7 linked regions of the Ovis aries genome follow. The protein of the gene in region 5 interacts with the protein of the main gene of each other region in a pairwise test. Links are inferred from orthologs where the notes say so. Each region holds a gene or a part of one and is shown on either strand. Other genes may lie near its edges.

Evidence for each region.
Region 1: the proteins of DISC1 (region 5) and DPYSL2 interact in a two-hybrid assay, tested with the Homo sapiens proteins (2 studies listed by BioGRID and IntAct). The link is inferred for Ovis aries from reciprocal best matches to the Homo sapiens genes DISC1 and DPYSL2.
Region 2: the proteins of DISC1 (region 5) and CEP63 interact in binary tests that used the Homo sapiens proteins (3 or more experiments, as listed by UniProt). The link is inferred for Ovis aries from reciprocal best matches to the Homo sapiens genes DISC1 and CEP63.
Region 3: the proteins of DISC1 (region 5) and MEMO1 interact in a two-hybrid assay, tested with the Homo sapiens proteins (2 studies listed by BioGRID and IntAct). The link is inferred for Ovis aries from reciprocal best matches to the Homo sapiens genes DISC1 and MEMO1.
Region 4: the proteins of DISC1 (region 5) and GNPTAB interact in a two-hybrid assay, tested with the Homo sapiens proteins (2 studies listed by BioGRID and IntAct). The link is inferred for Ovis aries from reciprocal best matches to the Homo sapiens genes DISC1 and GNPTAB.
Region 6: the proteins of DISC1 (region 5) and PPM1E interact in a two-hybrid assay, tested with the Homo sapiens proteins (2 studies listed by BioGRID and IntAct). The link is inferred for Ovis aries from reciprocal best matches to the Homo sapiens genes DISC1 and PPM1E.
Region 7: the proteins of DISC1 (region 5) and TNKS interact in binary tests that used the Homo sapiens proteins (3 or more experiments, as listed by UniProt). The link is inferred for Ovis aries from reciprocal best matches to the Homo sapiens genes DISC1 and TNKS.

Annotation. Positions count from the first base shown.
Region 1 is NC_056055.1:39,168,308-39,173,180, forward strand, and holds the start of DPYSL2 (dihydropyrimidinase-related protein 2), read right to left. Parts: upstream 3,070-4,873; 5' UTR 2,774-3,069; coding exon 2,420-2,773; intron 1-2,419.
Region 2 is NC_056054.1:255,493,864-255,498,614, forward strand, and holds the start of CEP63 (centrosomal protein of 63 kDa), read right to left. Parts: upstream 3,304-4,751; 5' UTR 3,188-3,303; coding exon 2,942-3,187; intron 2,262-2,941; exon of another isoform or gene 2,169-2,261; intron 395-2,168; coding exon 357-394; intron 1-356. UniProt on the Homo sapiens protein: Required for normal spindle assembly.
Region 3 is NC_056056.1:91,907,294-91,911,512, forward strand, and holds part of MEMO1 (protein MEMO1), read left to right. Parts: intron 1-1,644; coding exon 1,645-1,756; intron 1,757-4,219. UniProt on the Homo sapiens protein: May control cell migration by relaying extracellular chemotactic signals to the microtubule cytoskeleton. Mediator of ERBB2 signaling.
Region 4 is NC_056056.1:171,146,492-171,150,710, forward strand, and holds part of GNPTAB (N-acetylglucosamine-1-phosphotransferase subunits alpha/beta), read right to left. Parts: intron 3,967-4,219; coding exon 3,767-3,966; intron 3,548-3,766; coding exon 3,328-3,547; intron 2,668-3,327; coding exon 2,554-2,667; intron 1-2,553. UniProt on the Homo sapiens protein: Catalyzes the formation of mannose 6-phosphate (M6P) markers on high mannose type oligosaccharides in the Golgi apparatus.
Region 5 is NC_056078.1:3,971,751-3,975,969, reverse strand, and holds part of DISC1 (disrupted in schizophrenia 1 protein), read right to left. Parts: intron 2,525-4,219; coding exon 2,395-2,524; intron 1-2,394. UniProt on the Homo sapiens protein: Involved in the regulation of multiple aspects of embryonic and adult neurogenesis. Required for neural progenitor proliferation in the ventrical/subventrical zone during embryonic brain development and in the adult dentate gyrus of the hippocampus.
Region 6 is NC_056064.1:9,632,430-9,636,648, reverse strand, and holds part of PPM1E (protein phosphatase 1E), read right to left. Parts: intron 3,707-4,219; coding exon 3,563-3,706; intron 3,327-3,562; coding exon 3,233-3,326; intron 1-3,232. UniProt on the Homo sapiens protein: Protein phosphatase that inactivates multifunctional CaM kinases such as CAMK4 and CAMK2. Dephosphorylates and inactivates PAK. May play a role in the inhibition of actin fiber stress breakdown and in morphological changes driven by TNK2/CDC42.
Region 7 is NC_056079.1:24,768,515-24,772,733, reverse strand, and holds part of TNKS (poly [ADP-ribose] polymerase tankyrase-1), read right to left. Parts: intron 4,036-4,219; coding exon 3,864-4,035; intron 2,726-3,863; coding exon 2,646-2,725; intron 806-2,645; coding exon 660-805; intron 1-659.

The sequences.
Region 1 (4,873 bases), on a different chromosome or scaffold from region 5:
CCTGCTCATTATCTGAAAACTGAGTAATGGCTACTTAATTCCATCAAAGTGGTGGGTCCAACCATACTTTTGGAAATAAGCATTACTGCTATATGTGAGTGTGTGTGTGTGCATGTGTGTGTGTGTGTGTGTGTGTGTGTGTGTGTGTCCCAATCCCTTTTTCTCTCTTGTATAGATAAGAAATAGTCAAACACTGATCCTGGTAAATGCTCTTAGTCATGAATGAAAAAATTCCCACAGGAACGGCCGTTACGTGATACGGCAACATCGAAAATGAAAATTCAAGGAAGGCTGCTAAAAGATCAAATCAGAATAACCCTGTTACTAGTAACTGAATACCTACAGCAAATGTGGTTTGCAGAGGCTAAAACTGCCTGGGGTATTGGTTAAGAATCTCCTCTTCAAATCTCCCCCTCCATGTGCCCTAGGTTTACAATTTAGAATTTCTATGAAATTCAGAGAGTGTTCATCAAACACCCAAGCTTCTAAATGGGCAGGAAAAGAGATGTGTTATTCAACCCAGAGAAACTTTGCCTTTCAAACTTGAGTTTTAATTCACTGCCATATTTATCAAGATGGCCACTTTCAACCTTTGCCCTCTGATCTGCCATTTTTAAATGATCTCTTCCTTATCTCAAGGCATTTTTTCTGCTCCCTTTAGGACACAAGAATCTCCATCACAACTAGTTGAAGATGAGGTGATTACACAACCATGATGCCATATAATCAAGGTCTAGTCCTCACTCAGTGTATTTCACATTCCTCAGCTTTCAGTGTAAGTCGCATTATTAGAAACATGTACTTCGATTGTCTGATCCCCTGGAATAACACGAGTTCTTGGATTAAGTTCTTCCGACTGACCCATAGTGATATAGGGGTGGCAAAGATCCCCCACCATAAAATCATAAATCAGAGAACCGAGCTGGGCAAGGAAGAATCAGTTAAGTAACTAATTGTCATTAAAAAGTGACAGCGAGAGGTTTCTCTCTCCTAGAACTGGTCCTGTATAAGTCAAAAGCTGCAAAACTCTATGCCATATCAGGAAACAGGAACATGTTCAGACTACTGCCATCAACCCTTAGTTGTTCTCTGATGAGTTCACTGTCAGCCTACAACCTGAGTGCCAGATAAATGCTTATCACTCAGTGGATTTGTCTGGAGCACTCCCAACGACTCTAGAAGATCTTTAAGAAGAACTCACCTTGAACTTTTTACAGCTAATCTCCACCCTACCCACACACAATAGGTTGTTAATAAATAATCGATTGTTGACCAATTTCTCATCTTCACCAATGGGCATGGGAGACAAACAGCAAACAAGAGTTGAAACCTTTCACACTATAATTTATCACTTGAGACATTAAGGCTGAGAGAAAAAAATTGTACAAGTATGAAGGTCACCCTGATAAAGGAAAGCACATGTGGTATGCAAAGACAAAATGCACACTGTACTTATTTCCCAGAGATGACATTTTCTGAAATTCGGTTTACCAAATTGGTCTTCTTTGTTTCCTCATTTAACACAGTATGGGGTGGGGAGCGTCTAATTCATCGATGACAATCTATTCAAAATGTGAGGGCTTTTCTCTTTTCTTTTACCCTTTGACTATAATCCACTTAGTCCTCATCCCCAAAGCCCTCCCAAATAGTGGCGGGGTGTGGGGGGAGCGCTCTGAGACGCCCTTGCTCAGATACTTAGCAGAACTCTGTTCTCCACATGGGCTATTTAGGAGAGTCGCTGTCTCCTCGCGTGACTCCACTGCCTCCTGGGTTCTTCTCTCGCTGCGAACAGGAGTCAGGGTGATGAGATAGTCTCCCCTGCGGTCCGGGGAGGCGCTGGCCATGGTCCTGACCTCAAGCTCGGGACTTGAGCGCCGAGGGCGCCCAGGAGAGGCGCTGGGAGAGTGCGCAGGGCGCGGCGGGGAGCGGCCGTCGAGGCCCCCGCCCTTCCCGACCCCGGGGGAGCCCGCTGGCCTCCGCGCGAACCCTCCACTGCATGCTCGGAGCTGCATCAAAAAGGGTGGGGCATCCAGCCACGGCTGCAATCGGAAGCCACCCGGGAGGATTGAAGAAGAATGGAAACCCGGCCCGTCCCCTCCCCCTCCAACTATGCTACCCCCTCCCCAGTAGGGGATAGGCCCATCCTTTACCCCCCATCCTCCACCTCCCAGGCCCAGGGAGGCGCGGGCAGCCTTTGTGGACGCACGGCCGCCCACCACCGAGCCCGAGCACAGAGAGGGGTCGGGCAGGGTGGGGTGTGTGTGCACCTGCAAGAAGCGATATTCGAGGCGGGGCAGGACTGTGGGTTACGCTGGGATCCTCGGTTCTCCGCCGAGCTGGAAGGGGGCGAGGGAGGGGCGATCCCCACGCCCTATTCTCGGTCTCCAACACCGCTCCCCCGACCACCACCCATACCAACCTGGTCGTTGATGTTCTGCAGAGCTTCCTTGCCCGAGGCCCGCCGAATCTCCACCTTCCTGCTCGATTCAACAGATGGCTCCCCGCCGGCGCGCCGGCCCTGCCGGGAGTAGGGCGTCTGCGGGTCGGGGCCCAAGTGTGCGACGTCCCGCTGCTGGGCCACCACCTGCCCCGAGCCCCGGCCCACCGTCAACGAGTCGAAGTCGATGGTCTTGTTCTCCGAGGACCCCTCCACCGGGCAGAACATGCCACAGAATTTCTGCCGAGGCTTGGGGCTGCCTGAGCCCAGGTTTTTAAAAAAGGCAGGGACCTCTTCGTCCTCTGCCGCCTTCCCGGATTGCTTCCTCTCAGCCATGGTGTGGGGGCTCGGGGAGGGTCCTTGCCGTTCGTCCGTCCGTCTGCCAGTCCCTACGTCTGCCTGTCTCTAGGCACAAACCCCTTGCCCCGGCTGCAGCCGCGGCTGCCGCTCTCTGCCTACCGCAAGGTGTACAAAAAGGAAGGAGGGCTGGCGAGCGAGCGACCCACCCCTCACGGTCCCTCCCCCTGACCCCGCTTTCTTCCCTCCCTGCCCACGCCCCCCGCCAGCTCCCGCGAGCAGCAAAGTTGGGTCTGGGCGGGTGGCCGCTGCGGCAGCGAGAGCGGAGAGGCTGCCAGTTCCCGGCAGCTGCGGGAGGAGCGAGGCGCGGGCGGGGCGGAGGCGGGGCGCGGCGCGCCGGGGAGGGGAGCGAGGAGCCGGGGAGGCCAGGGAGGGCCTCGCTCCGGAAGTGAAGCTGCCAGACCACCGGCTAATGGATGCGCAGCGGAGGGCCCGCTGACCGCTCTGGGCGCCACGGTGAGTACCCGGCAGGGCACGCGGGGACAAAGATCGTAGGGCGCAGTCCCTGGTCCCCGCGCCCCTCTCCCGGACCTGCCCGGCCCAGGCGCCTCTTCCTCACCGCATTGCGGAGGTGGGCCCACGACGAGTGCCCACCGTGGGGAGGGCTCCCTCCCCCTGCCCCGGGTGTGAGCTGATGGGTGGGGAAAGTGGCACACGCTGGCGGGCGCCAGGACACCCATGGTGGAGGGGCGGGGGAGAGGAGGGGCGGCACTGGGGTTGGAGAAGAGATGGCGCAGGCCGCGCGGAAGAGAGGGGACCGTGAGAGGCGCGAGGACACTAGAGCTTCGGTCTAACCACCGGCCGTGGTGGAACACTGGGAGCAGAAATTGAAACGTGATTCTCACTTACTGCTCCCACAGTGGTGGTGGTGGGGCGCATCGTGGCAGGGAGAGATACAGAGGGCGTAGCAAATACGAAGTGGGTGGGTGTAGAGACAGGAAATAGATCTACAGTCTGTGCAAGTGTAGCAAGGCGAGGAGTTGGCAGGTACAGCCCAGCGCGGCAACTTAAGGGTATAGTGAGAGGGGATGCGGGTGCGCGGTATTGGCCGAGGGCGACGTGTACCGTCGCTGCGCCACTGCGCCAAGAGGGGTCCGGCAGAAGGTCTTCATTTGATATCTTCCGCCCCTCCCTCCCGCCAAAGGGGGAAAGATACACATGGAAGCCCACCCCGCCAAATCTCCAGCCCTACTGGCGCCCCGCCTCATTCCACAGCCCCTGTAGCGCACTGCGCCAGAGCCGCGGGGTTTCCTAGGCTGCCAGAAGCCGCGTGCCTGGGCGCTAGTGCGCGCGCGTCCAGTGCAGGATCAGCATGTGGGGCGCGGCTGTGATGGTTGCCTTGAATTGTGTGAGGCCAAGCAGCGGAAAGGTGTATGGGGACGTGGTGTGTATGCACGGGTAGATCAGCCTCAGCCATGGGATTAGTGGGCATCCAGGGGGCATTTTGATGTAACGCCAGTACATCAGGCCAGTAACACGGCCTCCCAGGACCGTTCATTGCTTACTGCTATTCCCCGTGTCTTTTCCACGTCTCAGTCCCTACCCAGGGTTGATTACAGCCCCGCCCCTCTCTCCACAGTGGCAAAACCCTGCAGAAATGATGCCCATCCTTTGGCAGCTCGAGAAGGAGCTCTGGGCATGCTCAGTGATCAGGGCGGGTTTAGACTGGGAAACTGTTAACCACAGGAGCGTCGTGCCCGGCTGAGCAACCAAAGATTCGGTCCCATTGTCAGCCCTTGCCCTTGGAAGGACTAAATGCGGATACCCAACCCTCCTCCACAATTGCCAGGGAAAGGTGAATGGAGTTAAACTTAGAGGACAACCAATCCCAGCTGGAAGATAAGCCCACCATGATAGGATGAGAAGGAAGGACAGAGGAACATACCTGTGCAGGGGATGAGAGAAGCAGAGGCGGGGCGTTTGGACCTGGCACCAGATGTGCTTTGCATCTGAATAAAGTGCCTCCACACGAATTAAATTTCCTACTCCTAGCAGACCCCTGGGATGAGTGCTTCCTTATCACCACTTTCCAGGGTAGGAAACAGAGTTAGATGCTTTGCCCAAGGTGACTATATAAAT
Region 2 (4,751 bases), on a different chromosome or scaffold from region 5:
TGTATCTATTTCCTAACTTTGGCTACTATAAATCCTAAAACCAATGACCAACCTAGTAGCAAGAGGACCTCTAGCACCCAGACTTCTCTCTCAAATCACCTCAAGGAACCAGGGCTTCTTGGTGGCCAGAAATGTATAAGTGAGCCAGGAATATGTTTTAAAAGAAAATAAGGAAACTCTCAAAGACTACCACTGGTCATATCAAAGTGGACAGGAGCCAACTTTAAACAGGCTGCCACTTGCCAACAACTTAAGTATGCAAAAAAAAAGAGACTGCAATAGGTTGAGACAGTTAAAATATATTCAAATCTATAAGTTCATGATGATTAAAAAAAAAAGAAAATCCTCATGGTTACCTTTGAAGGTTGCTAGGCCACCAACTCATTACTGTGCTCTGAAAATAGAGGGAAAGAATTAAGCATTTTTCTTGCCTTTCCTATACAAACTGTATTTCAAATAGCTGGTGGGGTTATCAAACAGCTGGTGAGTTAAAAAGTTCTTCATAAAAAATTTCCAGCTAATAAATACTAAGGAATGATGGAATCAGAAAATCACTATATTGCAGCCCCTAATGCAATGGATATAAGCAATTTAAATCCATGAAAGGATCTCACCATTAAGTGAATGGTTCATGGATAATTTCATGATGAATGGATTGGGCTGACAATACCTGAACCCACACTGCTCAATCTTAACATTAAGAAAGAGAGAAACTCAGAAATAACATGCCTCACTTAAGTATTTTGCACCAACAATGAAATCTTCCTCTGCTTCCTCCCCCAAAAAAGTCAAGGTTGAATCTGATCAAGCTTCTAGATCAGTGCTGTTCAACAGAATTATATGCAATTATGAAGACACTTTATATATGCAGCATTTGAAGAGTAGCTATTTGGCATATGTGACTATCAGACACTTGAAATGTGGCCAATGCAACTAGAAAACTGAAGTTTTTAGTTTTATTTAATTTTAATTCATTTAAATAGCCACAGGTGGCTGACACCTACTATATGGGCTGTGCAAATCTAGATCTCACTACCAGTTTATTCCCTTTAAAGGAAATAAAGGGAACAGGTGTACAAGTTAAAAGATGGCATCTGGATGCAGTGAACTAAATCTAGAATGTTAAGGGAAAAAGGGGAGGTAACAAAATTGTAACATTAAATAAGACTGAGGGACTTCCCTGGAGGTCCAGTGGTTAAGACTCTGCCTTCTAGTGCAGTGGGTCGCTGGTTCCACCCCTGGTCAGAGAGCTAAACTCCCACATACCAAGTGGCCAAAAAACCAAAATATAAAACAGAAGCAATATTGTAATAAATAAAAGACTTTTAAAATGATCTTCATCAAAACCAACCAAAAAAATCTTAGCAACACATAGATCTCTATGGGATTTTAATCCAAACAAGCTGATTTTAAAAACACATGTATGATAAAAAATAAAAATAAAAACACATGTATGGGACAGGTGGGAAAATCTGAACCCAGACTGAATACTGACAATGTTGTTCAGTCGCTAAGTCATATCCAACTCTTTCCAACCCCATGGACTACAGCACGCTAGGTTTCCCTATCCTTCACTATCTCCTGGAGTTTGCTCAAACTTATGTCCAATGAGTCAGTGATGCCATCCAACCATCTCATCCTCTTCCACTGCCCCTTTCTCTTCCTGCCCTCAATCTTTCCCAGCATCAGTCTATAGGATTTTTACTAATTTTCATAGATGTGATGACAAAACTGGTTTTGTAAAGCTGAAAACACAATCTGAGTTCTTAAAGAAAAATATTTAAAGTAACACAGAAACCAAAAATTCAATTCCTGAAACCCAGGTCAGTGTCGGTTTTAGCTGAATTTCAAACAAGCTTCCTAAAAGGAGGAAGCTCTAATAAAGTTGACTAGTGATGCTATTACCGTCCAATACCACTACTACCTTAACTGAGAACGGGAAGGGCCAAAGTTGTTCTACCTTTTAACGGGAGACAAGTGGCATCAATACAATTAATACATACAACAACTACAATAACTGTTAAAACCTGAATCTATAATGTTTATCAATATCTAGCCCGTTTTAATTTCAGTTGTTCTTACTATACTGATCACTGATGATATAGTCAAAAGGCAAGAAGCTCGATAAAAAGCTAATAATACTACATTTCAAATAAGAAAATACATACCCTTTATTATATCATTAAGCTACAGCTATGATCAGTATAGAAAAATTTGAAGGTAACATGTAGTTAATGATCCTTATGGTTTCCTCTTCGTATCTAGAAAATAGTTAAATGCAAGCATGTGGGGAACTGTAAAACTACAGGGCACAAATCCTACAGTACTGTTTTATTAAAGGAAGGAAAAAAATGTTAACACTGGTTTAAGGAACCGTTTGTAAGCCTTAAGGAAAACTACTCTGCGCAATACGCATGCTTTAACTAGACGCTGTAAATGAACACGAGTCGCTGACAGCAAGCTCACTTTTACTCTCTGATGTTGTAAAAACTACATTATGAGCCTAGGTTTACTGCTTCCAAATATGTTCATGATTATAGTGCTTTATGGGCCCATCCCTTTTTTTCTCTCACTTTATTTCGCATCCCTGATTTCTATGGAGCAATAAGTTCAGGGTTCCCCAAATTCTGTCCTTCATGATTTCTGCCACATTACCATACCTCTGGAACTAACATTATGGTTTTTAAGTCAATTATTTTTAAAAACTTGCTAAATTTCCCACCCATAAATGAACCACTATCACCTGCCGTCAGCAACCTAAGCCTCAACAAGGCTAGGAAGGATGCTAGCCAAATGAGGCAGCCCAGGCGGGAGGGCTGGGCCGGGGGTACCTCCCCAGAAGTGGCAGCCTGACTCGCTGCCGACTCCGCTGGGAGAAGCGGAGCAGCTCGCCCACCCCGCCGCCCTCCCGCCGGCCGGCCTCAGGGGAAGGGCTGACCACCTGGCTAGCCCGGACTGCGCGCCGTGGGAGGCCATATCTTGCTTCGCGGGTCTGCGAAGCGTTTGCGGCGAGGAGGGGCGGGGCGCCGGGGCGGAGCCGGGCCGGCGGAGGCGAGCCTGGAGGCCAGCGGGCGGCTGAGGAAGTCGGCCCCCGGCCATTCGGCCGCTCAGTCTGCGGCCCCACTGCAGCCAGGGCGGCCTCCGGCTCCGGACACCGGCACCCGTCGCCTGTTGGACTTTCACACATGCGGTTACAGGCCTGCCACGAGCGCGCCCCCGAATCTTCCCGCCGTTACCTCCGGACGGGGGCGCGCACGCGCGTCACCGCCAACCTGACGTCCAGTCACGGTCTTCGGAACATTCGTTCCGCCTACTGCTCCCTGACTTTTAATTGAAGCAACGTCCTCCTTGACCCCCCCCCCCCTCCGCCCCGCCAAATGGGCTCACCGACTTCCGGGGATCGGAGAGCAGGGCGCCTCGGCCACATGACCGCTGGGGGCGTGGTTCTGGCTGTGCTGGGCCAGTGCTGGTAAAGGTTTCCCGCGCCCTAGCTTAGGTAGTGTAGGAGAAGCGCATGTTCGGGTTTCGGCCGATCCTATCGGCAGAGGTCGTTGCCCTCACCTCACCCTGATAACTACCTCCCTTACCGCTCGTCGGGAGGGTAGAAAAGGACTTACACGAAGGCCCTGGACTTCCCCCGCTTCCGCATTTGGTAGAGCCCGCCTTGGGCCGGAAGCCGAGGTTATGGGGCGGGATCCCACGCCTGTACGGACGGTGGTGGCCCGAGAGGGTCATATTTAGCGGGGGGGAAAGGGCATTCCAGGTTTGCTCTTTTAACTGCAAGTTTACCGATCTCTAAAACAGAGGTGAATAAAACTGCCCCTGTCCCGAAGAAACGCACGCACCGCTTGTCTGGGAAGACCCTGTAACGGGCAATGTAACAAGCCCCTGATGGGGCCCATTCACTGCGCCCCGGGAAATATGGAACCTGCGGAGGGGCGGATATCGCGTTCTTCTTGGAGCTTAGAGAAAGCTTCCTGCAGGAGGCAACCTGGGAGCTAAGTTGTTTAGAGTGACTGGGGGTTAGCTGAGGAAAAAAGGAAGAAGACAGAGCATTCCAAGCTTTGGGACAGTCACGTGTGTAAGATTTTGTTCAGGAAAGTGGTAACAGTTAATTATGGGGACTGGCAAGTGCCTGGGACGCTGGCTGTGACCTGGTCATTGCCCGCCTTGTACTTTCCACGCTTCCAGCCCCTGAAGAGTGACGGCACCTTAGCGCCTAACTCTGGAAATGAGATGTTAGCCCCGATGAGCTGACACTCAACTTTGAGTTTGGAAGGAAAAATAGGTGTTCGTGATGGGGCAGAGAGACCTTTTTAGGTGCAAAGGCTGGAAAGTGTGACAAGTTAGATATATTCTAAAGAAGAATAGGTGAAAAACTATTTGAGGCCAAATTGAGGGAAAACATGCTGAATCATTAATAAAAAATTTACGCACAGCAATTGAAAACAATAATGCTTGAACCATCAGTCATAAAGCCAACTTAACTTGCCTAGTGAATCATAAAAACAAGGAACCATTCAAGGGCAGAATGCATGCTGACGCTGAGTGATCCGAGAAAACTTTACCAAAAAATGGAATCTGTGTGTGACTAGGAAGATCAGCTGGGAGGTACTGTGATGTTATAAAGAAACTGTAATCTAATCCAGGTGAGATGAGTCTCCCTGGATGATCCAATGCCAAAACCCACACTAGAAAGCCTAGAGAACCCTAGTGGCTGGATTACATCATCTTTTCATTCTTCATGTTTA
Region 3 (4,219 bases), on a different chromosome or scaffold from region 5:
ACTTTAAAAATGCCAAACAGTACGGAAACTACTATAACAAACCCTCATGTACTTATCATTCACACTTGACTCAGACTTTCCCCTCATCTGAACTCACTTTACATTCTCACATTGCCAAAAGTAGCCACATTCATGAACTTAGCGTATATCCTTCCAGTTCATGAAATTATATTTTAATTATGTTGAGTGTTTATTGTTTTAAGAAATTTTGCAGCAAATTCTTTTGTAGAATAAAAGAAGCTGTTTGCAAAGGAAATGGTCACCTCTTTCTAAACTTTAGGCTTAAATTTTCATAATTTCAGGGTCTATAGAGTATTAGCATTTTGTTGTTAGGATATAGCTTATTAACAAAACTGGAATATTTCTAACCTTACTCCCTGGAATGGCTTTAGGGTATGTAATTTTTAAATTTTTAAAATGCTTTTAAAATTTTTATTTTTTCTTCCAGTTTTATTGAGATATAATTGACATATGACATTATAAGTTTTAAAGTGACACAGTAATTTGACTTTTCATATATCATGAAATGATAAGTTTAGTGAATGTAATCTCATATAGATATAAAATTAAAGAATCAAAATAATATTTTTCCCTTGTGATGAGAACTCTTAGGATTTACTCTCAACAGCTTTAATGTATAACATGCAGCAGTGTTCATTATATTTATCATGTTGTACATAACATCCCCAGTACTTACTGATTTTACTACTGGAGGTTTGTACCTTTTTACTACCTTCATCCACCCTCTGGGTCACACTTGATTTGTAAAACCTTGTTAGAGCATTCAGAAAATTTTGGTTTTGGATAGCCTAACAATGAGAATTTTTAATCAGATACAGTTTCATAGAAGAAAAGTCATATAGTTATTTGTTTCTTTCTTTGATATTGGTAAACCCATTTAAGGATGTAGTTATAAAAATGCTGGTTCTGTTCAATGATAAAATAAAAATATTCTTGTGTCTTTTTTGTATTAAATTCCATTATTTTCTTGCTATATAATGTTTTAAGTATAATTCATCTGAAGGGTCTGAATTGCTAAATCATTTTAAAAATTTAAGATTAAGGCATAGTCCTGTGGTAAATTTATATTCCAGTCTACCTGACAAGTTTAATTCTTAATGCTGAGGAAAATAACATTTTCAGTAGGAATTTTCTGTTCTTGGTATAACAAAACCTAAGGTGTAAAACAATAATCCTATACATTTTATTTAAAAATAAAACAAAACTCAAAAACTGTATTATTAAACCTCATGAGGAAGTAGACGGGGGGATTTTTCCATATTTCAGTAGGAGTTTTGATCAACCGTTCTTGTTAGTATCTACTGGTTGATTAAGGTCAAGGAAAACCTTAAACTTAGAGGTGATTTTAGATATAATGAAAGGACCTGATGATAATTTTAAATTATTATTTTTTATGTAACTATATAACATATGAAAATGCTGAGTAAATCATTACGTGTCTGACTGTTTTGTCTTATATAAGAAGCTAGTTGTTTTTTCCTTTTTTTAAAACTAAAGCCAAAGGAGAATATTACGTGATACTTTTGTCTCTTGCCAAAGCATGTAGTTTTGTGTTACTGGGTAGTCTCACAGGATAAGGATATACATTAATACATTTGTTTTACTATATTTTGAAACCTCTAGTTTACGGAGAACTATGGAAGACAGGAATGTTTGAACGCATGTCTCTGCAGACAGATGAAGATGAACACAGTATTGAAATGCATTTGCCTTATACAGCTAAAGCCATGGAAAGGTATACTAATTAATATAAGAAATCCCAGAGAAATCATGGATATTAATTTCTTTGGAATTATTTTAACTAGGGTAAGATGATCACTAGGATAAAGAGACTTAAAAATTCTTGTTACAGTGGAATAAAGAATTTGAGATTAGATTTTTCTGAATGTGGATTGAAGTTGGTTTTGAGTAGTTTGGCTATGAAGGTTAAATGTATGAAGTGGCATGGTTGTTTCATTAGGTAGAAATATTAACAAGAAAACCCATGTGTCTGTGTGTTTGTATGTTATTGGTTTGCCTGTTATCTTATTCATTATATATTTATTTATCTCAGAATAACAATTATATTCTTTCATGGTATAGTGCTCCAAGTAAGTAATCATAAAATTTTAGATTTGGGAGTAACTTTGGAGGTAATTTATTTCAGCCCTTATCAAAGTATGTGAATCTCTATTATAAAAGCAATTATTATGTAGTAATATACAATAAGTGAGATAATCTATATATAACATAGATCTCTTATAAAAGAGATCTCTGTTATAAAAAATGCTGACTTGGTACCTGCTAAGAGGTCTTTGAGGATAGCATGCTCACTAGACTATAAGTAGAGTGAAGACAGGGACATTTTGTTTTCCACTTTTACCCCAGTGCCTAGCACAGTGCCTGTCACATAGTAGTCATTATTTTGGTAAAATGAAAGAATTGTTTTAAGACCTTTCTTTCTTCTTTAGGGCAATATTCAAATTAGAACATTTTTCTTTTGAAGGTCACGTTTCTGTAATTTTTTCAACCATTTCCTTTATATGGACTTAACATTCCATATGTTTTTAGTTTGATTAGTTCTAAATAGGGTGAGATTATTCCTTCTCTGGTCCTCATTACTGTATTCTCTTAGGAAAATAAGTGGTATGTCTTAGGTTTACAGTAAATATTTGTTAATTAAATGTGTTAATGAAGTATGAGATTAACAATTTTTATGCTGATATGGCTTACTTACTATTGTCTGATATATTTGTGGTCAGCTGAAACCCCAAGGGTTTTTTATACTGTTAAACTAGATTATTTTCTCCTTTTGTGCTTCAGTGGTTGATTTCTTTTTAACCCTAAAAGTGAATGTCTCTTCAATTAATTTTGTTTAATTTTTTCATGTTGGTTTTATTCTATTATTGCAGTTTTGGGAGTTATTTCCAGTCTTAATTCTGTTATCAAAGTATTATTTATTTCTCTCAGTCTTACGTTGTCCACATCTTTTCACAAAAATAACTATAAGGGATTACATAGCTGAAGAAGTTTGCAAAAATAGAGTGATATTAAATTGTAAGCAGTATAATTTTAGGTTGTGAAAGTTGCTCAGTCGTGTCCGATTCTTTGCGACCCCATAGAATTCTCCAGGAATTCTCCAGGCCAGAACACTGAAGTGGGTAGCCTTTCTCTTCTCCAAGGGATCTTCCCAACCCAGGGATCGAACCCAGGTCTCTCGCATTGCAGGCAGATTCTTTACCAGCTGAGCCACAAGGGAAGCCCAAGAATACTGGAGTAGGTAGCCTTTTCCTTCTCCAGCGGATCTTCCTGACCCAGGAATGGAACCAGGATCTCCTGCGTTGCAGGTGGATTCTTTACCAATTTTAGGTTATTTGTGTTTTAATACATTCTAATTCTTCAGAAAATTTTAAAGCAGTATAGCCTGTTTACTTTTTGAAATGCTAGTGTCATCAGAGCATCCCATTCTTCAACTGCAACAGGACAGTAAAAAACTTTTGTTCCTGGCTAAAATGTTATTTCAAAAGTAAAACAGGTGGAAATGTAGGAAAATAGAAATTTGAAACCAGTGAACAAAATTTATGTTTTTAATTTCCTCCCTATTAAAAAACATTGAATTACCACTTTTAAGTATATCACTTCTCAGGAAAACCTTCCTTATCTCTCAGATTATGTTGCTGCTGCTGCTAAGTCGCTTCAGTCGTGTCTGACTCTGTGCAACCCCATAGACAGCAGCCCACCAGGCTCCCTGGTCCCTGGGATTCTCCAGGCAAGAACAGTGGAGAGGGTTGCCATTTCCTTCTCCAGTGCATGGAAGTGAAAAGTGAAAGTGAAGTCGCTCAGACGTGTCCGACTCTTAGGGACCTCATGGACTGCAGCCTACCAGGCTCCTTCGTCCGTGTGATTTTCCAGGCAAGAGTACTGGAGTGGGGTGCTGTTAGGATCCCTAATACTGACTCTTTCAAAAGCATCTAGTACTTTTCCTTTGTAACCTTTGCTGCAAGCACTGCTTATGTCACCTAGCTTACCATTACCTGTATCAGTTTCCTTTACTGAATAACAAATTGCCTCAAAACTTATGACTTAAAATCATAACTGTTTTTATTGCTCACAATTTTGGGGTCAGGAGTTTGAGTAGGGAACACCTTGCTCTGGTCCACAAGACACTGACTGAGATGACTGGAGTAGGCCTTGAGGATCCAAGATGACTTTAGTGCTC
Region 4 (4,219 bases), on a different chromosome or scaffold from region 5:
CTGGAACTCACGGCTCACTGTCCCCTCCTGGGAAAAGGGTGTACCCAGATCTTTGAGAGAACTTCAGTTATCCTGACACACAATAAAGGGTGTTTTAAAACCAGGATACTGACATCCAGATGATTCAGAGTTGATTATATTAGCTTTGTTGGGGGTAATTCCAAATTTGGGGAAAACAGAAAAAAAATTATCACAGTTTGAAGGAATGTCTTTTAGTCTACACAATCTAATTTCTTTTTTTTAACTGTGATTCTGTTCTCTCAGGAGGCAGGGAAAACACCTACAATGATTACAAATGTGCCTTTTTAATCTTTAAGAACACACTTGTAGAGAACTACTAACATGTGTAACAGTCTGGGTTTTATAGAGCACTTTTCACTGTGTGGGCCTAACATACCAGAGAAGCTGCTGCGCCTCACGAGACAAGCTGCTGATCTGTTATCAGCCAGGCCTCCCGAGGGCCCACAACCAGAGCTAGTCTCAGACTCTGGCTGCTGATTCTTGCCTGTTTACCCCACTACAGCAAACTCCCTTAGGCTAACACCAGGTCTTACACCTTATCTCAGTTTCACTGATTTCACAGTTTAGAATATTTAGAATATTTAGAGCTGGCTTTCGGTGACACATATCTATACACCAACCCGTCTCATATGCTGGACTGACCAACACATAACCAGCAATACGTATAGCTTGTCTGCATATTCCAGCAGCTGTCAAGGTGCCCCTCACATGTCTCCTCGTGGGTGGGCTTTCCCGGGCCCTGAGAACACGAGTGAGAAACACCATCCCTGCTGTGTGCAGTGAGTGCTAAACGAGTGACTGCCTTCTTTCAGAAATCAGACTTGTAACTGATTACTAGAGTTACTTGTAACTGATTAGAAGAGTGATTACATTACTCTTCTCTACATTCATTTACACACATCTTGTCTCCAGATAATTATAGGGCTTGAACATTCGCAAGGTGGTCAATTTTTAAAAACACATGTTATTTTGGACTTCCCTGGTGGTCCGGTGGTTAAGATTCTCATGCTCCCAACACAGGGGACACAGGTTCAATGCCTGGTTGGGGAACTAAGATCCTGCATGCTATGTGGCCAAATAAAATTTTTTAAATTAAATAATAATTACTTAGGTTTCCCTGGTGGCTCAGAGGTTAAAGCATCTGCCTCCAATGTGGGAGACCCGGGTTTGATCCCTGGGTCGGGAAGATCCCCTGGAGAAGGAAATGGCAACCCACTCCAGTATTCTTGCCTGGAGAATCCCATGGACTGAGGAGCCTGGTGGGCTGCAGTCCACGGGGTCACAAAAAGTCAGACACGACTGAGTGACTTTACTTACTTAGGTTTGAAAAAACATTTTGATTATGAAAGTTATCTATTCATTACAGAAAATATGAAAATACAATGGCACCCCACTCCAGTACTCTTGCCTGGAAAATCCCATGGATGGAGGAGCCTGGTGGGGTGCGGTCCATTGGGTTGCAAAGAGTCAGACATGACTGAGAGACTTCACTTTTACTTTTCACTTTCATGCACTGGAGAAGGAAATGGCAACTCACTCCAGTGTTCTTGCCTGGAGAATCCTAGGGACGGGGGAGCCTGGGGGGCTGCCATCTATTGGGTCACATAGAGTCCGGACATGACTGAAGTGACTTAGCAGCAGCAGTAGCAGTGTGAAAAAACATATTAAGAACTACCAGTAAAAAAAAAAAGCCAGATACAAAAGACTATATGATTTTAAAAGAAAACTACCTACGATTTAACCCACCACCTATTTTGTAAACATTTTTTTCCATGTGTGTGTGTGTCTATATATATATATATGTATGTATGAGTAAAATTAACTGTGAGCACCACATAAATGGCTGTATCATATCCTTGTTCCATCAATTCTAAATGCACATTTTTTTTTTAATAGTTTCATTTCTTTGAAACTGGGATGCATCTTACAATCAAAAAAGTCTTCCAACCATTTCAGCCAAGTGGCACTCTAATACATTTGTGTGCAGATCATCTACTGCCCCTACTGGTAAGATCCAGAAAGTTCCATCATCAAAGCAACTTAGCTTTGAGGGAAGATGGGGTTCAATTTGATGAGTAGGCCAGAATACTGGAGTAGGTAGCTTTTTTCTTCTCCAGGGGATCCTCCTGACCTAGGAATCAAACCGGGGTCTCCTGCATTGCAGGCAGATTCTTTACCAATTGAGCTATCAGGGAAGCCTGACTATTTCCTTGGTTAATGTTTAACAGGATTGCTCTCCTGAGTAATGAGTATACTCCAGGGTTACCTTCTGCCATCCTTAGTAAAAGGTTGTCTATTTATAGAATATAAGCAACTAATCTCAATATTAGCTTAACATCCATTAGGGAGGAAAAAAAGATATTCCAAAGAAAAATATAAATTATTCTAGATTATTGGTGGTGCTACTGATTTCTACCAGAGACCTATAAACATAGAGCAAGTGTCTAGTTTTTGAAGTGCTGTACAGAAATGATAGTAACACCCAATAAGGATGGACTCTCTGTTTTACATAAATGAACCCACATCACTCACCAGATTCGGATCATAGTACGCTTCCTGAGTTGGCGGGATGTTGTTTAGCTGAGTGATATTAGCAGGAAGCATTTTCGAACAATTTATTAACATGTGTTCCAGACCTGTTAAATCCTAACAAAGCAAAAATAAAAGGATAAACCTTCTACATACAAGTAATGCTTGTGGTTTTAAAAATATGTTAAAGTCACCGAAGTGTAAGTGCTACCTTCAGAGTTTGACTGTGAGATTCTAAACAGAGCAGACTGAGACAATACAAACAACTCATCTTTGCCTCAAAGTGGAACGTACAGGACCGGGAGGCCCCACCGATACCAGGTGAGCCAGGGGATCACCAGATGGGTGTGCTACAGCTGGAATCCTCTTGGTGCCCATTATTCCTGAGGGTCCCACTCCTGGGACCAGAGGATGCCAAGGCAGAGGGGATTCTGCGGCACCACGGGTCTGGCTGAGGGCTCCACTCAGCCACATCTGAAGCCCCTGAATGAACCTATCACGAGAATCTTCTATGCAGTTATGGTCTGCCTCTTCTCCACACAATACCATAGCAATCCCTAACAAAAGTCTTAAAAAAAAGTCATCCTATGAAACACAAACTTCAAAACTGATTTTAATCCTGGCATTAAAAAGGGACTAGTTGTGAACACCCTCGTTTACTTGTACTTGCATTACACTGAAGTATGCAGGGCAAAGAGAAAGTATCAAACTTAAAAGTTTCATTTAAAATGTCACAAAATTTGGGGGTTTGGGGGTGGGGGGATAAAATTACAATACCTGCAAACTTAAAGGCAAGTCGTGAATTCTGGTGGCCAGCGTGCGGATTTCTCTGTCAGACAGGATACCAGATTGGTCTGTGTCAACTTCATCAAAAACTTGAGATATGTTCAGCGGCTGAACTGCACTCATGAGATAATAAAAATAAGAGAAGGCAAACTGCATGTCCTCGGAGTGGCGCACTTTGTGAAATGACGTCTTGTCAAATTCTTCAGGGAACCTGTCCAAATGTAACACACTGTGAGATCTGGATACTTACGATATGTATGGTACCCGACACTTGTGGCATCAGAATCTTCCTTCCCTCCTGCTGAGATAATACTTTCAACACACTAGTCATCACGTGTCAGAGCCATAGACGCAACATGGCGAGGATGTGAACTTCAAGCTGCTCTGGCTCTGAGCACAAGCAGAAAATTCAGACATAAGCGAGACTTACATGTCTTGCAGTTCCTGCATCACGATTCGGTCGATCATGTGAGGCATGTGTGCAGGGACTTTCCGAGATGTGAATCCAAACTTGCTGTTTAGAATTTTGTTTACGTATCGGAGGGAATCGGCGAATGTGTCTTTTAGCTGCCTCCCGGTGTGCTTGCTGTCAGTAAAGTAGGCCAGTTGTGTCTTCAGTGACTCTTCTTCCTGAAAGGAGAATTCCACCCAGCACAGCGTTACATTTACTGCACAAGTGTCCTGTGTTAACAAGAGACGGGGGTACTACTTCAGGTAGCATGGCAATAACTAGTCACTGTCGTGTGGGGAAAATGAAATGAGCACTAAACAGGTCTCCTTCTGCATCCTAAGACCAGGGCTCACCTGGTCGAGTTCAGTGAAAATACTGCAGACAAGCTGTTGACAGGGTTTTCTTCAGGGACTAGTAACTGACCGTGAGATT
Region 5 (4,219 bases):
CTCATTTCACTTAGAATAATGTCCTCAGGGTCCATCCATGCTGTAGTGTGTGTCGGAATTTTCTTCCTTTTAAAGGCTGAATTTAAATGCTTCATTGTATTTATATACCACATTTTGTTTACCCAGGCATCCCCGGTAGCTAAGCTGGTAAAGAATCTGCCTGCAACGCAGGAGACCCTGGTTCAATTCCTGGGTCGAGAAGATCCCCTGGAGAAGGGATAGGCTACTCACTCGAGTATTCTGATCTGGAGAATTCCATTGACAGAGGAGCCTGGCAGGCCACAGTCCATGGGGTTGCAAAGAGTCAGACAGGACTGAGCAATGTGCACTTTGCTTATCCATTCATCTGTTGATAGGCACTTGGGTTGTTGCTTCCACCTTTTGACTATTGTGAATAATGCTTCTGTGAACACATCTTTGAGTCTCTGCTTTCAATTCTTTGCAGTCTTATACCCAGAAGTGAAACTGCTGAATCACATGGTAACTCGACTTTTAATTTTTTAAAGAACCACCATACTGTTTTCCACAGTGGCCCTCCACCCTATTCTCACACAGAAGTCAAAATGCCTTTTTGAAATGTGGTCAATTACATCACTTCACTGGTTAACCAACCCCACTCCATGGCTCGCATTCCAGTCAGAAAAAACCCCAAGACTTCACAAAGGCCTGCCAGGCCCCACGCCCCCATCACTGATTTTCTCCTCTTCTCCCCCAGCACTGTGCCAAGAATGCTTCCTTCAAACACTCAGTATATGCATGTGCGCTAAGTCACTCCAGTCATATCCAACTTCACAACCCTCTGGACCGTAATCTGCTAGGCTCCTCTGATGGGATTCTCCAGGCAGGAATACTGGAGTGGGTTGCCATGCCCTCCTCCAGGGGATCTTCCCAACCCAGGGATCAAACCCACATCTCTTATGTCTCCTGCATTGGCAAACAGGTTCTTTACCACGAAGCCCTCAAACACTAGGTAGCCTGGGCTAAAAGTATGTTCTGTGCACTCTGACATCATCAGGAATATTCACCTCTAGCTGGTGAATATTATTCAGAATCAAAAATCAGACTTCACATTTTCAGCTACCTGAACTTGCTCAACAAGTGTGCTCAACGTGGTGAGCTCAAGAGCGTGAAAGCACCAGTTTACTGGAAAATATTTTCAGACTGGAGAAGGAAATGGCCACCAGTATTCTTGCCTGGAAAATTCCACGGACAGAGGTATCTGGTGGGCTACATGTAGTCCATGGAGTTGCAGAGTCAGACATGACTTAGCCATTAAAAAACAACATTTTCAAACCTCGTGGCTCAGAGGGTAAAGAATCTGCCTGCAATGTGGCAGACCTGAGTTCAATCCCTGGGTCAGGAAGATCCCCTGAAGAAGAAAATGGAAACCCACTCCAATATTTTTGCCTGGAAAATCCCATGGACAGAGGAGCCTGGGGGGCTACAGGGCTACAGTCCATAGGGTCGCAAAGAGTCGGACACGACTGAGCGATTTCACTTCACTTTTTTCAAATTGCAATGATGTTTGCCTCCCTTTGCTGCCTTGCTATCATATGGAATTGGAAGGGTGAACTCATAACAAGAAGACTCTGCATGGAGTGGGGGTTTCCAGTAACCTCTCCAAGACCCATTCTCTTGTCTAAGGTCACTCGGCCTTAGAGGCTAAGCCACACTGTGGACGCGCGTGTTGAAGAGCTCTGCATTTTCCAGAAGTCCGTGTTCCTTCACTGTTCCCCAGTCAGGCTTCAAGTCCTCTACGCTTTGGAAGGCGTGGACAGAACTTCAAGGCTCCTTGCTTCTGGGGGGCCCGTCAACTTCCAGAGGCGCTGGTCACCTCCTGGCTATAACTCAGAGTTGCACCAAGATTTCCAGCCCCCCATGATTCTCAGCCAACTTGCATCCACTGCTCCGGGACAACCCAGAGCTCCCACGAAGCCCAGTCATTCCCAGTCTTTCCCAGTTCCACCCACCTTGCCCAGTCCCCACTCACGGCTCTGCCTCCTGACAGTCGCTATCCACAGTCCAATCTGATAGCAGTTTCCATAAAGGATTGCCTCAGCTCAGATTTTTTTTTTCCCTGCCTTCCGAAAGAAACTTCTCAAGGACAAAATGATAAGAGGTGACAAATTGGCCTGGCACACAAGGAAAGCATATTCAAAAGGTAAAGTACTAGCAAAAACAAGCACAAACACTGCTGAACTTCCAACCCCTTGTTTGTAAAGAGACTCCAACAAGCCCTCCAGCCGTCTCCACCCCTCGCTCTGCCTCATGGCTCCTGGGTGCACTGCCAACTCTCTAAGGACTGCATTCAAGCAAAGACCCACTTTGCTGCATTTGGCTCACATGTGTTAGAAAAATGCTGTCTTGCTTCATAAAGAGTCTTCACCTGCTCACCTGTAGCTGCTGCTTTTCTCGGAGAAGCCAGTCTCGCCTGGTGATGGACACTCGCAAACTGTCCTGAGCAGCGGCTTCCAACGTCTTTGGATCCATTCTCAGCCGGGCCTGGGGGTCGTCACTGCCAGCTCTTAAAACACACACACACACACACATATATAGGCACAGATATGAGTGACCTGAAATCTTCAGATCTACATGTATGTTAATGCAAAGAAGACTCACAAAGTGGCTCCCAGCTGCCCTCGTCCTTAGAAGGGTCATGGGGAAGAGGTCCCTAGTGTATGTGTTTGTTTGAATGATAATCTGTTGGGGCTTTAGCAGTTGCCTAGAGTCACCTTGCTTTATTGGACTGGGCACCGTCCGGCTCCATAACTATGCGTGTAGCTATCTGTACTGAAAGCGTAAAATACACATCAGATTGTAAACAGTATGAAAACAAAGAATGCCAAATATCTCATTAATGATATTTTCACATTCATTACATGTTGGGATGACAACATTTTTGATACACTGGGTTAATGAAATGTATTTCTTAAATTAATTTCACTTATTTTTTTTTCTTACATTTAAAAAATATGGAGAGTAGGGACTTCCCTGGAGCTAAAGTGGCTAAGAATCTGCCTGCCAGTTCAGGGGACATGGGTTCGATCCCTGCTCCAGGAAGATCCCACATGCCAAGGGGCAACTAAGCCCGCCCTCTAGAGCCTGTGAGCCACCAGTACTGAGCCCACGTGCTGCAGCTACTGAAGCCCACACACCCAGAGCCCATGCTTTGCAACCAGAGAAGTCAGGCAATGAGAAGCCCCTGCACGGCAAGTAGAGAGTAGCCTCTGCTCACTGCATCTAGAAAGTCCAGCAACAAAGACCCAGCACAGCCAAAACTAAATAAAAAATCTTACTGTCGCTACCATATTATTTAAAATCATGCATGTGGTCTGCATTATACATCATTGGACAGCCCTGCCTGGACCCATCCAGAGCCAAATTCCGGGGCAGATCTTGGCTGTGGACATGACAGAGAGGGATGGCTGATTTGAAGATGTTTGGGTCAGAACTTCTCGGAAAAAGTGTGCTAGAAGACTATCAAAAAACCACTTAAAATCTGTTTGGCTCTTTCTCCTACGCTCACAGGAGCTGGCATATTTGGTTGAAGCAACACTGGTGAGGATGTGGCTCAGGCCGCCACCTTATGCGGGTAAGCTGGCCTTGCGGAAGGCTTGCAGGTGTTTCTCCTCAAAGGATGACAAATCAACTCCTAACCGAATGCAGCAGGATGGGGAAAAGTCTACCCTAAGCAAAACTATGCCAACAATCCAAGGAAACAGTGTCTGTGAAAGCACCGCTGACCACAGTTAAAAGGCAAACAACAAGTTGGGGAAAAGGAAATATTGCTAATGTCAAGAGTGCCAGCAACAGAAGAAGAAAAAGATGAGTACATCCATCAGAAACTCAAAAAAAGAGAATTATGACGGTTTATCATCAAAAATGGTTTTAAAAGCAAATTCAAACAACATAAAATATCATTTTTCATATAACAACTGACAAAAGCTTTTGGAAACCATACTTCCTTGGTGAGCGCAGGGAATAAAAATTATAGATCCAAAACATGCCTTTGGATCCTCTTGTCCAGGTTTTAAAAATTAATCATATGTAAATTGCCCCTATTCATGGGGTTCTGACCATCCTTATGGCAGAAAGTGAAGAAGAACTAAAGAACCTCCTGATGAAAGTGAAGGAGGAAAGTGAAAAAGTTGGCTTAAAACTCAACATTCAGAAAACTAAGTCATGGCATTCGGTCCTATCACTTCATGGCAAATAGATG
Region 6 (4,219 bases), on a different chromosome or scaffold from region 5:
CACCAACCCACCTGACTAGACGTCCCCGTCCCCTACTCCACCTGACTGTGTTATTACCATTATTTTCTGAACTCCAGCTCTAAAAATAAATGTGATCTGAGTCATACTGTTCCCAAAAACCTTGTTTTAGTGCTTCAATTAAAAGGCTACTGCAACTGTTAGTTTGGAACAGAACATACAAAGATTTGCACAAGAGAAAATGCTGCCAGAGTTCTGGCTTTTCACCTGCTCTACTGTTAGATGTCAAATTCATGACATTTCGCCCAAATTTGGTAGGAGGGCATGATCACCCATTTCACAGTAGAAATGGCACCATCCTTTGGTCTTCTACCCCCTCTCTCCATATGCCAGAAACTGTATCATGTCAACTCTGGATCATCAATCCAAAGGGCTCAGGGGGAGAAACAGTTGAAATGTGTTTCATTTTTAAAGTATTAATGTCATTTATTTTCTGAGTAGAGTTGAACTCTGCTTAGGAGTCCTTTTTCTTTTCTTTATTTAGCCCCCTGATTTACTCCATGAGCTTTCCAAATCTTACATTCTCTGACTCTTTCCAATTCAGTTATTGGATTTTGGTAGATGGCATAATTTCCTACGTCAAAGAAAATTAAGTTTACCGGGCCTGAATTCCCTCAATTCCTCCTCCTAACTTAAAAAACAATCTCTAGCAATTTACCTCTATCTACAACCATTTTCTGTTTTCAAAATTCTGGGAATTTTTAACTCACTTGACCTCTGTAGCATTTGACCCTGTTGACTCCATACGCCTAGAAAACCCCCTCCCCAGCATCTGATACCCTGCGTCTGTGTCTCTTCCTGTTTTTCTTTACTGGCTCCTTCATTTAATAGCAACACCCCCAAGAAAATAATAGCACCCCACATCACTGTATGCTAAGTCTGTGCCAGGCAGGGTTTAAGTGTATGTGTGTGTATTATACTATCTAATACAAAAACAATAGTTAGGTACTATTACTAGTCCTGCTTTACAAGGGAACAAACAGGTATGAGAAGTTCAGTAAATCACCTAGGCCCACAGCTGGTCAAGTGGCAGGGCCAAGACACAAACCCAGAGAGTATGGCTTCACGGTCTTCTACCATAAGCAATGAGTCTCAGCCTTGGTCTCTCTTCACGCTATATTCCTGGGCAGTGTCATCCATTCTGTGGTTTCAACTACTGTATATACATACATACATAGATAGATATATATAAAGTCACTTCACAGGTTGTTAATGTTATTTCCAAAATGGGATGAATTCTCAAATCTCTAACTCACAACTCTGCTAAGCTCCAGATCTGTATTTCCAACTGCATATAAATTACCTCTTCTGAGACGTCCCACAGGCACCCAGAATGCAAATATGTCCAAAATGAACTCATTATCTTCCCTCCTCCCTGCCCCTCAACTGCTGCTGCTTTATTACAAATGTTTTATCATCTTCTTAGTGACACAAGTCAGAAACCTAGAAGTTTCCTCTTTCGCCCCAAAAGCTGTCACTTCTGTCTCATCAATTTATACTCTTCTGTATTCCTGTTTTTTTAGCTGTCCACATCTCTGAATGATCTCTCATCTAGATTTTTCTCTCTAATTCATCTTCTGTAATCATTAAATATTTATAAACACAAACCTGACCACGTGGGCCCTCGGCTCACTCACCCAGTGAAGCCCAGACCCTGAGGCTGGCATTCAAGCCCCTCCGCACCCTGGCGCCAACACTGCCTCTCCTCACCCCATCCCCCGCCCCAGCCTCCTGCACCTGTCCCTGTTCCTGAAACAGGACGCACCCTCGGAGACGCCCATGTGTTTGCACGCCTCCCTCCCGGGGGCCTTCTCTAGGTTCTGTCCTCCCATCCACCTCAGAAGTCACTTCCTCTCTGCAGTCAGCCCTGTTTCCTCTTCAACTGGCATTTATTCAAGGACATTGCTTTTTCCCCTTATGTCATATTTTTAGAAGCAAGAAATGACAAGAATTCTCTAGTAAAGTTGCTTCTATAACAAGCATTAAAGATATCTTGCAATACTCTGACAAAGACAGTAAGATCAAGAGAAGAGGTCTCTGGAGTTGTCAAAAATAATCCTATATGAAGGTGTGTTTTAAGAATCATAAATTTCCCCCTTTTGGCCTTATTCCAGATTTCTTAATGACTCCCTTGGTCTAAGGTGAAGCCTACTCTCAATTTTTCAAGAGGTATTTGCAGAATCTTTGAGCTTCCTCTTTCTTTCCGCCTTCTGCTGCTCACATTTGGGCCACTTCACAGCTTGCCAGCACCTTCCCAAAGAGTGGGAGGGAAATCACATCAATGGTGAAATGGAATCAGTCCTTTGAGATTTTATTAATGTTCTGGAATTTTTTGGTAATGATAAGCAAAATCTGGGGATCAGACATCAACTCCATTTATCCATGTTATCCTATGTCAAAGCACTTCATTTCTTTAGGAGGCAGTGACAGAACTGAATACACGCATATTACCCATAGAGACACACACATTCATCTGGTCTTTAAAAAAAAAAAAAGAACAAAAAAAACAAAGTGAAGCTAAGCCATGAAATCCAACGCAACAGACCCAGGTGCAAAAGTGAGAAAGAAACGGCCGTAGCCCGCTCTTTGAGGCACACCCTCACATTCTGTCCAACCAGCTCAGCTTTTTACTCTGAATCTTCAACAAAGAGTTTCATCGACTTTACCCTTCTTTTAAAGAATTTAGGTTCCAGGGAAGTAGATTTTCTGAAATCCCAGGGTAATCTAACAACTCCACTCCACACAGAGTAGAATTAGTTTCCTAATTTTAATATAGTAAAAATTATTTTCACCCAAAAAGCATGTTGTTTGTGTCATTTTAGAATTCAATGAGAAAATGAAAGATATAAGCAAGATAAAATATAGGGACTTCCATTTTCTGGAAAATACTGATTTAAGCTAAATTTGACCCAAATGGAATGGAAAATGAGGATCACTGGGCTTTAAGCAGATTTGTATTCCAGAGATTAAAGGCTTCCCTTTAAAAAAAAGAAACTAGTAAGTTCTATATCTCTTAATATAGTTCCCTTTTAAAAATGGAATTTATATAAATGTGTAGGTTAAATAATTAATTAAAAGAGGCATTAGACAATAACAAGCACTCTGAAAATCTAAGTTATTATCTCAGGTTCCCTTGTTGTATCACATTAACATGAAGAACAGTGTTCTGGAAGAGGACAGTTTGGAGAAAAAATAATTAATTGGTTTTTCCTACCAATAGCTCTGGAGACAGACAGACTTCCATTCACCCTCCAGGCACCAAACCAGACTACACAACCTCCAAGGGCCTCAATCCGCTGCTTTTCATCCTGCACAGCAATGCAACAGAAAGAAGCAAATAATTGGATTCAAGATTTATTCAGCTACCTTAACAGTAAACAACAGATATAATATTCATCGGCTTCCCGGAAAGGGTTCTCTTTACTCTTCCTTTGAAAGGTGGGCTTGGTTGCTGAGATAATGGTGATAATTATAATAATAACTGAAAAGTAATAACTAGAAAACTGCCTATGGCGTGTGCCCTAACAGAACAGAGCATACCTACCTCTCTGTCTGGTTTGTGTGGCTTCATTAGTTCAACAGCTTGGCCCTTCCTCACAAGCATAACCTGGGAATCACCCACCCAGGCCACATGTAACATGTTGCCTCTGATAAAAGTCACCACTCCTGTGGTCCCACATCTTAAGCTCTGAAAGTAATATAAATAAAACAAGAGTCAGTAAAAATTAGCAGACATCAAATTCTCATTGAGAAGCAATTTGTAGATAATACAGACTTTTCAGATGGAAGCAAAACTACCAATAACTTGATTTCACAAATAAAATAGCAATTCCTATTTCTCAGTGCATTTTTCCATGCTTGATGTATTTATATGTGCACACACACATATAGATTTTATCTGTGATATGCAGGGCAGAGACAATTATCAGTTCACTTTACTTATTATTTTTTGGCCACGCCATGCAGCATGCAGGATCTTCCCTGACCAGGGATGGAAACTGTGCCCTGTGTTGGGAGCACAGAGTCTCAACTACTGGACCACCAGGGAAGTCCTCTATTCCGTTTCATGCACAGGGAAGAAAACTACGGCGGGCGATGTGACTTGCCCGAGGGCACGTACAGATCGGTACCCAACTGAAATTTTTCCCTCATGGTCCAGTGCTAAACCACCATATCAACCCTTAGAGTAAAGATCTCCATA
Region 7 (4,219 bases), on a different chromosome or scaffold from region 5:
TATAAACTTATTTACAAAATACAAAAAAATAGTATATATAGGCATTAAAAGGATGAAATGAACTGCTTAGTACTGATACAGAAAGACATTCAAGATATACTATTATAAAAAAGGCAAACTGTAAAGCAGACTGCGGGATGACATCTTCATTTATGTTAAAAACAAGCCCCATCACAACAGCACACACACTGGTACACATGTGCTTCAAAACTCCTCACAATTACAACAAAATTTTGATGTTGTAATCTCTAGGAGGTGGAATGAGAGGGACTTTTCACTTTCTATACATTTTCATAAAGTTTTAATTTGGGGGGATTCCCAGGTGGCTCAGTAGTAAAAATATATCTGCCTGATACTTTAGGAGATATGGGTTTGATGCATGGGCTGGAGAAGATGCATTAGAGAAGGAAACTGCAACCCACTCCAGTATTTCTGCCTGGGAAATCGCATGGACAGAGAAGCCTACAGTCCATGGGGTTGTAAAGAGTTGGACATGACTTAGCTACTATAAAACAACAAAGTTTTAAGCATTATGCTTTAAGCTTTTAAAAAAAAAATTACTTTTTTAACAAGGGGAAAAAAATCTATCATGAAAAAAAAAAATTTTTTTTTAAAGTATCAAGGAAATGAATTCCACACAGTGACATTCTAACACATACCCTTTGTCTTTGGCATGGACATCGGCACCATGGTGGAGGAGGTACTCCACAACAGACACACGGTTGTAGCCTGCCGCGAAGTGTAAGGGCGTGGAATGCCGGCCCTCTAAATCTCTGCAATTCACATTCTGAGGGCTGCAAAGTTGCTTTATTGACACACACACACACACACACACAAACACAAACAGAACATTAGTATTTATTTAAGGATCTTGCACCAAAATACTGCAGGCATCTTGGATAAGTTGTAATTTTCTAATGACTATTTCTTTGATTAGATAATACAAGTGATGTTTTAAAATCAGCAAGATGTTCTGCTTTACAGTGTCTACAAATATTCTTATGTTTGCACAGCAATTTCACCTTTTTCAATATTTCCTGGCCAAAATCCTAATCAAAAAGAAGAAAACATAATAAAGCAAGCATTGCCAAGGCAAATGGTGCCTTCCTTTCATTGTTAGAAGGCTTTCCTCCCCGTGAGAGCCTGTCTGCTTGTACCAGCACGCTCTTAACCACCCTTTGCTCAAGTAAGATTAAACCTGGCTGACTGTAGAACTACCCAAAATTTCTGCCTGCTTTGACATGGCAACAAGGCGGCTCTGGAAAAATTACATTCATTCTGTCTGGGCCACCTCTTTGGCCCTTCGATCCATCAGAGCAGAGCCAAGCAATCAACAATATTTTACCTGATCTTCAAGGGGATATTTGTTTAGGTCTACAGGTCAAACTGATTCTGATCATACTAGTTGTTGGCCTTCTATTTCCTTCAGCTGTGTCCTCCAAATCGCCTCTTTGTCACCTGTTCATTTTCCTTTTGAACATTATCATCTCAGCACAAGCTCAATTCTGTCTGCTTACAAAGCAGTGGAAGCAAAGTCAGGCTGGAGAGGCTGCATCATTGGTGGTGACAGATGGATGACAATACAAATATCTGAGTAATAATTTATAAAGAATTTCATTTTTTTTTTCCAGTGAGAGAATTATTATCTACTTGAGAAGTTAACCATCATCTCCATTTTACAGATAAAAAAACCAAGGCTCAGAGAGGTTAAGTGACATCCTATGTCCTAGAGTGGTAAGGGGTAGAATAAAAACTCAAATTTCATTTTCCTGATTTTTAATCTTGCCATCTTTCTGCCATTGCTTACTTATTTAATTATTTAGTCACTGCTTACTTATTTGATTATTCTAAATTTAGGGAAGTGATGTGAAGAGAGATAATGAAAAGAAAGCTAAAAAAGGTAAAAAAAAAAAAAAAGCAGAGAAAAAGTGACATTTTCTAGGCTACATGGTCTGATGTCAAGGGCTTTCCAGGTATTTGACAAGTCTGGTTGCTGCTCCTGCCACTGTAGTAGGCTGTTATAACAAAAACTCAGAACCTGGAAGTCACCTATAGATATACTGAGAAGGGGCTGGTAGGGTGAACACAGGACTTTTCAGGTAGTACAGTTTTTTTTTTACACAACAGAAGGAAGTCTGGGCATAAGGGAGAGACTCTATAACCTAAAGAGCCATCATCATTTGGTCAGATTGTATCTTTTCATGACAAGTGATTCTGTAGCTACATTAATGCATAAATTGTAGAATCAAAAAATACTTCCCAACTGCAGGATCATAAGGATGATTTCCTAGTGCAAAGGTGAGAATCTCTTAGAAAAGGTCAAGAACACTGTTTCAAACTTTACTGTACTATTACCTGGGCTTGCACTAGCTTGCAAATTTATGAGTGTGGTCCAAAATAACACTTTAATTTTAAAAAGTGGAAAGAAATAAAAAGAGCATTCACATAACCAGAAGTAAAGTGACTAAAAAATGATTTAATGAAAGGCACATACTAGGAAATTCTTAATAAAGATCTCTCCTTATGAGTCCACTCTGCTCATCCCTCTTATTGTTTGGATTTGAGTTGTTTCACTTACAAGCTTAAAATGAATTGGGAAGCAAAGGTTTCAAAGAGCTACCCAAGACATTAAAGCATTGACATACCTTCACAGTTTCCAAGTCTCCGGCTTTAGATGCTTCTAAGAGTCGATAGTCAACATCAGAAGTGCGTATAGGTGTACTTTCTGCATAAAAGATAAGGGAGGATTACTGCTGGTTTTTAAGGAAACAGAGTAGCAAAGGAGGGAAAATTATTTGGTAAATGGAAAGAGAGATGTTCACGTAAATGCTGTCAGAGTGTACCATTAAAACTTTACTACTGTATACTGTTGGTAACTACAGGCTTGTGAGATGAAAGTGAGGGTCTCTAAAAGTGGAACTCAAACCTGGTATTAATAGGGGTTGTTAAACAAACCTTTAAAATATTGCCCAGAACAGAACCCCAATAATTTACTATACATTCTATATAATTGATGTATTCTTTCAGGAGTCATTATAGACATAACCTGGAATTGGATTAGTAAATACAGGTACAACTGAAAAGTTCAGCCTGTATATGGTCTATAGACATACAAATTTTTTGCAGAAATATTAGTTTAAAATTTTATACTGTCATCTAAATAAAAAGAAGAATTCTCATTAAAAAAAAACAAAACCTTATAAGGGCAAGATTTTACCACCAAATTCTATTATTTGTATTATCCTTCCTGATCAATAAGAAGTATGAAGACTTACACTAAAAAGTTCTGGCACATACTAAAATAGGCATTTAATGACCCATATAATGTTTTATCTTACTAATCAATTTTTAAGAAGAATTATCAAAATAATAAAAAAATTTTCATTTGTGATTCACTATTTAATTTTATCTTTTACTAGCAGCCATATATTTTAATTGTATTCATTTAGAAGACATTTTAAAAGCATTGCTGGAGCAATCTGCTTAATTTATTCAATCCTTTCCTCCCCATTTTATCAATTACCTCTAAAACCTACATATAATATTATGAGAAATTCTGATGAAATAGCTATATGTTTCCCTGATTTATAGTTATAACTTGGAGAAACTAACCTAAAATTCCCTATTAAATGGTTCTTAGTACAAGAGAAAAATTTGGAATGTTTGAAGTTTAAGAATTACAAAAAGGAGAATGTTGATGGGCAGGGCCACAGGCTAAATTGTAAGTAAAGAAAGGCAGGAAAAATTTTCAGGCCAAGAAAACATTCCATAGAGCCCCTTAAAACAAGGGGCACAAAGTCTGCATATCAGTGGACAGACTGGAAAAGGAAGAACAGAAAGCAAGGTTGTCTGTGTGAACTTACCACTCAGAATCTGCTGCACGGCCTCGTTCCCCATCTGTGCTGCTGTAAAGCCTTGTAAGGAGATGATGGAGGGATCTGAGCCGTAACTCAGCAGCAGGCGGCATGTCTGCAGATGACCAGCAAGGGCAGCTCTATGCAAAGCGGTCTGACCAAGGGTGTCCAGTGCATTCATCTGAAATATGAAGGGGGCACATGGGACTGAGCAGCTGTTTTGTTCCCCTTTATACCCTAGTAAATAAATTCTTGAGAAAAATCAATTGTCAACTTTTATGAAAAATACAATAGACTATTCATAAACTATTCACGAATTCTTGCATACTGATTCTAAAGAAATACCGTCTTCTTAAAACTTATAA